Linked DNA regions of Danio rerio. The protein of the gene in region 1 interacts with the protein of each later gene in a biochemical or structural test. Links are inferred from orthologs where the notes say so. Each region holds a gene or a part of one and is shown in the gene's direction. Other genes may lie near its edges. The genes, in order: keap1b, amer1 and mcm3l.

The links.
Region 2: the proteins of keap1b (region 1) and amer1 form a complex in vitro, tested with the Homo sapiens proteins (2 studies listed by BioGRID). The link is inferred for Danio rerio from reciprocal best matches to the Homo sapiens genes KEAP1 and AMER1.
Region 3: the proteins of keap1b (region 1) and mcm3l form a complex in vitro, tested with the Homo sapiens proteins (2 studies listed by BioGRID, with this or other methods). The link is inferred for Danio rerio from reciprocal best matches to the Homo sapiens genes KEAP1 and MCM3.

The regions. Positions count from the first base shown.
Region 1 is NC_133181.1:203,281-207,452, reverse strand, and holds the start of keap1b (kelch-like ECH-associated protein 1B), read left to right. Parts: upstream 1-1,268; 5' UTR 1,269-1,285; intron 1,286-2,379; 5' UTR 2,380-2,628; coding exon 2,629-2,943; intron 2,944-3,528; coding exon 3,529-3,774; intron 3,775-4,172. UniProt on the Homo sapiens protein: Substrate-specific adapter of a BCR (BTB-CUL3-RBX1) E3 ubiquitin ligase complex that regulates the response to oxidative stress by targeting NFE2L2/NRF2 for ubiquitination.
Region 2 is NC_133180.1:22,730,381-22,733,032, reverse strand, and holds part of amer1 (APC membrane recruitment protein 1), read left to right. Parts: coding exon 1-1,760; 3' UTR 1,761-2,652. UniProt on the Homo sapiens protein: Regulator of the canonical Wnt signaling pathway.
Region 3 is NC_133195.1:6,677,877-6,681,535, reverse strand, and holds part of mcm3l (MCM3 minichromosome maintenance deficient 3 (S. cerevisiae), like), read left to right. Parts: intron 1-1,243; coding exon 1,244-1,452; intron 1,453-1,557; coding exon 1,558-1,732; intron 1,733-2,836; coding exon 2,837-2,963; intron 2,964-3,059; coding exon 3,060-3,210; intron 3,211-3,645; coding exon 3,646-3,659. UniProt on the Homo sapiens protein: Acts as a component of the MCM2-7 complex (MCM complex) which is the replicative helicase essential for 'once per cell cycle' DNA replication initiation and elongation in eukaryotic cells.

The DNA.
Region 1 (4,172 bases):
ACACAAGCACACACACACACAAACAAACATGGAAACACCACAGAGCTCACCTTTACACTGTTTACCGTAAACAAACACACACACTCAAACCAACCTCAGAGCCGTCACACCTAAACCACGGGCATCTCTCAATCGCTCACACTCTCTCTTTCTTACCCACACACACACACACACACACACACACACACACACACAAGCTTAGTCATCTGTCAAAACTGGAACTTCTCATGAAATATTAAAATAGAGATGTGAAGAGTGTGTGTGTGTCTCTCAGCTTCTCCTGACCAGTGTGTGTGTGTGTGTGTGTGTTGCTCTGCCGTGAGTGTCAGACTGAAGTGCAGTAGAGTGTGAGTCGCTGCTCCAGTAGACGGGCACGTCAGAGGTCAGAGGTCAGCTGTTCACAGATTGGGCTCTTCTACAAAGATTTTAATGTTTATTTACTCATTAATGAAAGTCAGACTGGAGAGGCAGTGTGTGTGTGTGTGTGTGTGTGTGTGTGTGTGTGTGTGTGTGTGTGTGTGTGTGTGTGTGTGTGTGTCCTTCAGTGTAAAATGTTAATTGCTGAACACACACACACACACACATAACTCTGCATGTAGTCCTCCATCTGTCGCTCCGCTCTGCTCACTGAGAGCCGGACTGTTTTACTGATCGTGTTTTGGATCCAGTATAGGCATGAGATGTGTGCAGCTTCAGCTCAGCTCAGCTCCTCCTCTGATGATCACACTGGAGCAGAACAGAACAGAAGCTGTTCAGTCAGCTGAACCACAGATCCCAGAACAGCCAACAGCAGAACAGCTCAAACACAGCCCAGCAGCAGCCCGCTCTATTGACCTGTAGCGACACCTCGTGTCCAACATCAGTACTGCATCTCACACACACACACACACACACACACACACACACACACACACAGGCCAGCTAATGCTTAGTCACGCTGAGTTTCTGCTTTCAGTGGGTATGATACACACACAAGTACACACACTCACATACACACAGAAGTGCTCACACACACACACACACACACAGAGAGAGAGAGAGAGTGTCCGTGCGCTGCTGCTGATGCCCGTGAGTGTGTTTTCATTGTTTACTGTGTTTAATCGACATTACTGCCGCGTTTGTCAGATCTACAGGCTCGTGTTGATGCAGTTTCTGATGTACAGCTGTGAGGATGAGGATGGCGGCTTGTCTCCTTATTGATGAAGATCAGCTCATGATGAACTTTATTAATCTTCATCTTTATTCCTGATTGATCACTGTGTTGTTTATGGAGGCTTATAACGCGGTAAGAACATGGTAATAACACGAATAAAGTGTTTTGATTTGAGGTCGGCTCGCGTTTCCATCAATAATTTAAAGCGCGGGTCGCGTAGCGCTGAACTTTTCCTCAGCCTCGGTCTGTGGTTTCCCGCTCGGGCGCGGCGCCGCTGCTGAGTGTGGCCGGATCTGCGCTGCCGGGGGCCGGTGCCGTTTCAACTCAAGCCCGGGGATCTCAGGCCTCTCGCTGTTTATGTGTATTTACCGCGCTTTGTGTTCTTAGTGTTATTATAAGAGCTGAAAACAGCGGAAATCAAATTAAAGCATGACTGTAGAGCCGGGGTGAGGAGGATAAACGGAGATAAACACTTCAGTTCAGCAAATTGACAGAAACACATTAAAATAAACCTAGCAGACAGCTGGAACCACACACACACACACACACACACACACACACACACACACACACACACACACACACCTGCTGCATATATATTTGCTCTTTTAAACTACTTATTTAAAATGAGCTGAAACAACACAATTCTTGAGGTTTCATTTGTGAGAACTTAAATTTCTTATGTTCAATCCACACGCATTTGTTAAATGTGTTGAGTTAACTCAATCGACTTGTGTTGGGTCAAGATGAATGAATTGTGTGGAAGCCTGCATTTTTAACAGTGTGTGAGATTCTGTTTACCTGTACACACACTCATAAACAAACAAAAACACACTCATAAACACACACACACACACTAAGTGTGGATCAGAGTGTGTTCTGGTTCACTGACAGCAGGACAGTGTGTGTGTAGTCAGTGTGTGTGTATGTGTGTGTGTAAGCAGAAGATAGACTCCTGCTAACGACAGGAGGAACTCCTGAAACTCATTAGTTCTGATCAAATCACTGACGAAGATCTGATGAACCAGTCCTGAGTCCAACAGAAGAGAGAGTGTGTGTGTGTGTGTGTGTGTGTGTGTGTGTGTGTGTGTGTGTGTGTGTGTGTGTGAGAGTGTGTGTGATACTCCTGATCATTCATGGCAGAGTGTGTTATCGTAGTCAGTGGTGAATCCTCAGTGTTTGTTCTAATCTCTCTCTCTGTGTGTGTGTGTGTGTTTCCCCCTCAGGATTCGCGTGCAGACACAGATCAGCAGCTCTGCCCTCCTCTACAGACTGACTGACAGGCGCGTGTGTGTGCGTGTGTGTGTGTGTGTGTGTGTTCACACTGGTCAGGAGAACACAGATATGTGAGCGTTCCTCTGCGTGTGTTCCTGCTGGTGATGAGCGGTGTGTGTATGATGTGTGCGTGTCTCTAACACAGGTGTGTGTGTGTTCTCGTGACCGCTGCGCTGGCGAGTGAGGATGTGCCCGCGCTGATGTTGGCGGCGGCGGGCATGACGGAGTGTAAGGCGGAGGTGACGCCGTCGGCCAGCAATGGGCACCGCGTCTTCAGCTACACGCTGGAGAGCCACACGGCCGCCGCCTTCGCCATCATGAACGAGCTGCGGCGCGAGAGACAGCTGTGTGACGTCACACTCCGCGTGCGCTACTGCCCGCTCGACACACACGTCGACTTCGTGGCGCATAAGGTGGTGCTGGCCTCGTCCTCGCCTGTGTTCCGCGCCATGTTCACCAACGGCCTAAAGGAGTGCGGCATGGAGGTGGTGCCCATCGAGGGGATACACCCCAAGGTACCAGCACACACACTCACACACACACACACACACACACACACACACACACACACACACACTAGGAAAAAATAATAAATGGGAATTTGGATTTGTAGTGCAGTTTTCCCAGCTGTGTGTGTGTGCGAGTGTGTGAGTGTGTGAGTGTGTGTGTTTGTGTGAGTGTTGCATCATGATACAGTGATGGTCTTGAATGTGTACAGCTCCTCTCCTGAGCTCCAGCACACACACACACACACACACACACACACACACAGCTCAGTGGTCAGGTGATCAGTGACAGCAGCTGTTCTCTCTCCTCATTTCCTCCTCCAAACCTGTTTGAGTTTCTGTTGAACACAGCGGTAGATGTCCTGGAGGAAGCAGCTGATGACTGCAGCAGTGTTTCTGTTCCTGCTGTGGACGTCAGCGGCTGCTTTCCCAGCATTCCTCAGAGTATCAGAGACTGATGAAGCTGTAGAAGCGCTCGAGTGAGGAAAGGAGGAGGACATGTTCATTATAGGTGACCTGTGCCTTTCAGTGTGCCCACTTCAGAAACGGTGTGTGTGTGTGTGTGTGTGTGTGCGTGTGTGTTCTTGTCTCCAGGTCATGGGCCGGCTCATTGAGTTTGCGTACACGGCGAGCATCTCAGTGGGTGAGAAGTGTGTGATCCACGTGATGAACGGCGCCGTGATGTACCAGATCGACAGCGTGGTTCAGGCCTGCTGTGATTTCCTGGTGGAGCAGCTGGACCCCAGTAACGCCATCGGCATCGCCAGCTTCGCCGAGCAGATCGGCTGCACGGAGCTCCACCAGAAGGCCAGAGAGTACATCTACATGAACTTCAGCCAGGTCAGAGCGGCCGACGCACACAGGATAACCGCTCTCACACCCCTCACACACCAACACAAGAGTTCAGGCCTCAATAAGGGGCTTTCACACCCACACTTCTGTTTCGGAACCGTCCCGTTAGTCCAGTCAGCGCGGCTCGTTTGGCATATGTGAATCCAGCAATTGTGCTTGGATCTGCACCAAATCAATCAGTCCGAGATCGCCTGACTGAGGTTCAGTTAAAACTCTGGAGCAGATGGACTGTAGTGAGAAAGAGAAATGATCTGAGCCCGGCGGGATCACTGAGGATTCGGGCCCGCAGAATTCTGCAGATGTTTAGCTCATCATTGATTCTGTCTATTCACTTGAGTTAGTGTGTGTACATCTGTACTTATTCTGTAATATTATTGACTGATCTG
Region 2 (2,652 bases), on another chromosome or scaffold:
GCTACATCCCCTCAGATAGGGGCTCAGATAGCCCTTCACTCACCCCTGATCAGCAACTGAGCTCTATCCGTGCCACCTCCAGCAGCAGCCCAATGGGAATCACAGAAACTGCTCTCACTCCTGCCGACCTCTTGAGTCCACAGAGTGATCGGCAGGAGTCGGTACCCAACAGTGACGAGGGTTACTATGACTCCACCACGCCAGGGATGGAAGAGGAGAGTAGAGAACGTCCACACCAGGAAAGGCTTCCACGGGACAGCTACAGTGGTGATGCCCTTTATGAACTTTTTGAGCCTGACGATCGCCTGCTCAGTCCTTCTCTTCCTCCCAAGGATGCCCACTCATTTGTTGGTGCACCCTTGCAGGCTGATAAGAGTCCAACAAACCCGCTATACTCCTTGGCATCTACTGCAATAGAAACAGGAGCCATGGAGACAGAGGAGGAGCGCCTGAGCAAGATCCAACATGCCCTTCTGTGCTGTGAGCTTCAGAATCTCAGGAGTCCATCCAAAAACCAGCTTTTGTTCCATTCCGACTGCTTTTATGATGATTCGAACCTTCCAGTTGATGATAGTAAGCAAGATTTGCAAGAAGTTATCAATCAGCGCTATCCCCAATCCCCACCAAGATCCCAGGCTGTTAAAGAGGGAGTCCCTCGCATCAGGGGTCAGGTTCAAGAGAGTTCGTTATTCGCACCCTGTGCTGATTCGGTGTTGAATCCACAAGTCATCGAGACAACCAGACCGCAGCCTCAATCTGACGATCAAGGCTCATTACGACCCTCCAGAGGCTGCAGCCAATCCCAAGAAGAGCTGATGGTCTGTTTCTCCCAAGCCTTGGTAGATTTTACAAAGAACACCCGGCTTTACCGCAATTCAACTGAAAGTCTTGATGGCTCTGAGTCAAGTTCTCCCTTTGGCCCAAGTCTGAGAGCCCTGCCTGCCATTGTAACATTCGATGTGGTTGATATGGAGAATGAGGGTGAGTGTGAGCAGCAGACTGACCTTGCAGAGGAAGAGGAAGAGTTGGCATCTCCTTATGAGCCATTCGAAGATGATGGCTGTTACCTTCAACAAGATGCCTTTGCTGAGTGTGACCAGCGTACTTTTGATGCTTATGAACAGAGTCTGCTGCTCAGCAATGCTTGGGGAATTGCAAGCCTTCCTCGGCACCTCAGTTTGGGTCGACCTTGTCCACCAGTCCCTGCCCCTTTAGCACTAAATCGCCGAAGTCGCTCACTTGACACAGACAGTCTGGAGTTTCAGACAAGTGAAATTTACACAAGCGTAACCAAGTATGACTCAAAAGGCACTGCATTTTCACAGAGCAGGACTGTTGATTGTAATGATATGGATTTTCCACGACAACCCTGCAGAATTACGGTTGACAGCTGGAGGAGGGGCTACAGACAGAATTTTGATTCCAGCAATGCTTCTCAGCAAGAACTGAAGTTGCCACATTTGAGCCAATCCACTGTCAGACCTTCACACCTGCCCCTAAAGAACAATTGCCGTAGTCGTAACCTCCCTGCTGCCACTAGAGTGGATGGTGAGGGGGAGATTTTATTTGGTGGAGGCGATGCGCTTTATCCGTGCAGTTACCCCCCTATGGGCACACAGTGGAAGAATCGGCCTGTCGGGGTCACCCAGGGTGTGCCACATCTTCGCTCTGAGCAATCTGCAGACCATCAAGAAATCACAATGAAGAACAGGAGGGGGGAACTTAAGGGTGGCTTCACGCCTGCACCCCCCAAGTTATGAACAATATTCCCCCACTCAAAATGAAACCGTAATACAAATAGACAAGTCTCGTCACCAAAGACGATGCTGGATGTTTACTGACACTCTTGAATTGTATGGCACTCTCACACATACACACTATAGTTGCTGTTACTGCCGGATAAGCTATTGTATTCTTTTGTGAGGTATTGTGTAGTTTTTTGAGCTGTTTTAGTTTCTGTGAGTTTAAGAGGATGTGCATTTGTACATTGTGTGTTACAACAGTTTTCAGCAGGTGCTGTCTATATATAGATGCCATATTGCTTTGCATTTATGTAGCCAGGAATTGCCATTGAAATTGATCCATATTGTTCAGATGTTTTTTTTTTTATATATTTGCAAAGAGGACAACAACGACACTATAAATGACTTATTTTAGAGTAAGTATTAAACCCTGCAATAGCATTAAAACCAATACAATCTTGCAAGCCTATTCAAACATCAAGCTTAGTTTGAACTGATGAACAAATTCTTTTTTAATACAAGTTATTTTTTTCAATTTCACAATATGCTGTATGTTTCAAGCTATCAATGTTTGCATCTTGAAACGTTTTAAAGGGTACCTATTTTACCCCTTTTACAAGATATAAGCTAAGTCATTGGTGTCTCCAGAATGTGTCCGTTTTAGCTCAAAATACCCATCAGATTATTTATTATAGCCTCCAGAATTTGCCCATTGCAGGGTTTGAATATGCTGTAGCTGTTATTGTAGCCTTTGGCTTTAAATCCAAATGAGCTGCTTCTCCCCGCCCACCACTTCCACATGCGTGTCTGCTTCTCATCATGCGTTACGTCAGATAAACAGCAGTCAGTGATAGAGACAGACTCGGATGAAGCTGAAATACAGCTCATTAGTCAAAAATTGAATTTATTC
Region 3 (3,659 bases), on another chromosome or scaffold:
TTATGTATGAATCTCGATTTACAAAAATAACAGTTATGACTGGTTTTCTGGTCCAGGGACACATACTGTACATAGCCCGGCTGTTAACTAACCCTTAAGCCCAACCTGCTCTGGTTAGACTCATTTTTACAAGTCATACACTCGAAATACGAAATAAAGGTACAAGATATTATATTTATTTATTTATTTATTTATTTATTTTTGAGTTAAAATCCAATTCAATGGTCTATGCGAGGCTAAAAGGTAACAAAACTGACTAAATGAATTCAAAAATAATAAAGCTCAGCTGTTTAACTCTACACTCTCAGAAATAAAGGTACAAGAGCTGTCACTGGGAAAGTACCTTTACAAAAGATACATATTTGTACCTGAAAAGTCCATATTAGTACTTCAAAGGTACATTTTAGGTGCATTTGGGTACTGATATGTATCTTTGAGGTACCACAAAGGCTGCTTTAGGTACAAATATGTAAAGGTACTTTCCCAATGATAGCTCTTGTACCTTTATTTCTTGAGAGTGTAGAGTTAAACAGCTGAGCTTTATTATTTTTTTAATTCATTCAGTCAGTCTGGATATATATATATATATATATATATATATATATATATATATATATATATATATATATATATATATATATATATATATATATATATATATATATATATATATATATATATATATATATATATATATATATATATATATATATATATATATAAAGAATCGACTTGCGTGTTGTAAAACCAACAGAAAATAAGAAGTTGCTATTTTCTAGGTCAATGTGGCTAAAAACTATACTCTCAATCCAGCATAATAATCAAGGAACTTTGATTCAATACCATGCCTGAAGCAAACACAATATTACATAGTGCTTGAAAATAGTCCACAGCTAACTAGGTAACAGCCCTGCATAATATTATTGTAAGTGCAGCAGCCACAATACACAATGTAACTCAAGAATAGAATAAGTAGAGTCAAGTGTATAATTGGAAAATTATCAAAACACTTTTTTTTATTATTTGAGTGAGATTCTAATGGTCTAATCTGATTCAATGATCTATGCTAAGCTAAAAATGCTCCTGCCAGACCTGGAGATCCGCTGAATGGATTTTTAAAAATTTTTTACAGGAGTTGTAAAATGAGCCTATTTCCAAAAAAGTGCAGTGTTTCTTTTTTAATTTAGCATGATGCAAGGAAGCTGAGAATGAATTTGTGCCTGTTCTCCTCTGGCTGTTGCAGGTGAGCGCCGTCTGGAGGCAGGAGCTATGGTGCTTGCTGACAGAGGTGTGGTTTGCATTGATGAGTTTGATAAGATGTCAGACATGGACCGAACCGCCATCCATGAAGTGATGGAGCAGGGCAGGGTCACCATTTCCAAAGCTGGGATTCAGGCAAGGCTGAACGCTCGCTGCAGTGTGTTAGCTGCTGCTAATCCAGTGTACGGAAGGGTAAATATTGATTGGTGGCTTGACTGGTATAAGTACTTTCTATTAAGAATTGAGAATTTAATATTCTGTTAATTCTAATGTGTTCAATTGGGTTAATTTATCAAGTATGACCAGTATAAGACCCCCATGGAGAACATCGGGCTCCAGGATTCCTTGCTTTCCAGATTTGATCTGCTCTTCATAGTTCTGGATCAGATGGATCCTGACAGTGATAAGGAGATCTCTGAGCATGTGTTGCGTATGCATCGCTACAGAGCACCGGGAGAAGCAGAGGGAACAGGTGAGACTGACCTCTGCTGGACAAAACACAACCACCTCTAGAGATGAGTGGAGATAAGTGCTAGAAGCTTGTTGTTGTTTGGCATAAGTTCAATTGCTTGTAAAGAACAATTATGGTGGAATTACAAGCTGATAACTTTGATAGGTTTTTTTTCTCTCTCAGAATTGACAATTTCAAGTTTACATTTTAAGTTGTTTTTTTTTTTTTTTGCATTTCTGAATTTTCTTTTTTTCTTGTAAGCTATTACTTTGTAATCGAGTTTGTAACTTGCAATTTTGTGCTAACATTTTATAAATATGGAATTTTCCTTTTTTTTTTTTGACTCCAGTTGAGTATACACCCCCCACCCCTTTAGAATTGCAAGTTACATTTATCACCATTTTAATTTTATTTGGTTTTTACAGTTCTGAGAAGAGAAGTCGTAATTATGGGGTGGAAAAACACTAATCAAAGGATTTTTTTTTTTACTACTTTATTCAAATGTAGCGTTCACCAGTATAGAATAAATGTAAAAACACAACCTTTTTATTTATTTTTATATATATATATATATATATATATATATATATATATATATATATATATATATATATATATATATATATATATATATTTATTTATTTATTTATTTATTTATTTATTTATTTATTTATTTATTTATTTATTTATTTATTTATTTATTTATTTGCTTCATTTTTGTGGTACAGTAAAAGTGATCTACTACTACCATTGAACAGTTTGGCATACGATTTTAAATTTTTTATTATTTAAAAAAGAAATAATTACTTCTATTCATAAAGAATGCATTCATTGTTTAAAACTATTGTTAAATATGAATATTTCAAATATGTAGTGATCTTTTGGACCTTCCATTCTTCAAAAAATCTTGCAAAAAATGTCAGTTTCCACAAAAAATTTCAAGTAGGAATAGTAGTTTTCTACATTCAGAACTGAAAATTAATTCAACTTGACAATTAAGAAGGACAAAAGTGTGTATTACAACTGGTTTGTGATATTTAAGACCGGAGAAAGTATGTTACAAATTCAGCTTTGGAATCACAAAATGAAATGTTGTTTTAAATAGTATTGTGTCTGCACAAACAGCAATGCCGCTGGGAAGTACAGTGGACGTGTTCGCCACAGAAGACCCAAACATCACAGAAGCATCTGAGCAGGAGTTGCAGATCTATGAGAAAAAAGACAATGTCCTGCATGGCCACAGGAAGAAAAGGTATGCTTCTCTTCATCTAGTTATAAATGGTCTTTGTTCCCTTAGAAAAAAAGTTGCGTAGCATGAGTGAGTTTCTGTGATAATCCTTTTGAAAAGGGAGAAGATTGTTACAATGGAGTTCATCAGGAAGTACATCCACGTGGCCAAGCTGGTGAAGCCAGTGTTGACTCAGGAGGCATCAGACTATATAGCGGAGGAATATTCTAGACTCCGGAGCCACGACCAAGTCAACAGTGACTCTGCAAGGGTCTGTAATGTCCACTTATGTATAACCTTTGGTTTATGCTTGACTTTTGGGGCACTTTTATGTTGTAAAATCGACTTTGTATAGAAGAGTAAGTCTTTAAATCTACATATTGACACTTTTGGGTACTAGCAAAGCAAATATGGACATTAGAGTAACATATACTGTAATTATTTTAAAAACAATTATTTTATAACATAAAATAATTATTGCAAATTTTACAGAAACATTACATGCAGTTTTAGATAATTTTTATGCGAACCCACTATTTATTATTATTTTTTTTTTTAACAAATCTTTTAAAGATCATTTGCACCACTGCATCCAGTATACCAGATTATCCCATTACTTAGTCACTACATATATGGCTCCTTTAATGTGATATTTTGGTTGCTCTGGAATTGCTTGATTTGCATTCAACTGTGTCCATTCTCACAGACGATGCCTGTGAC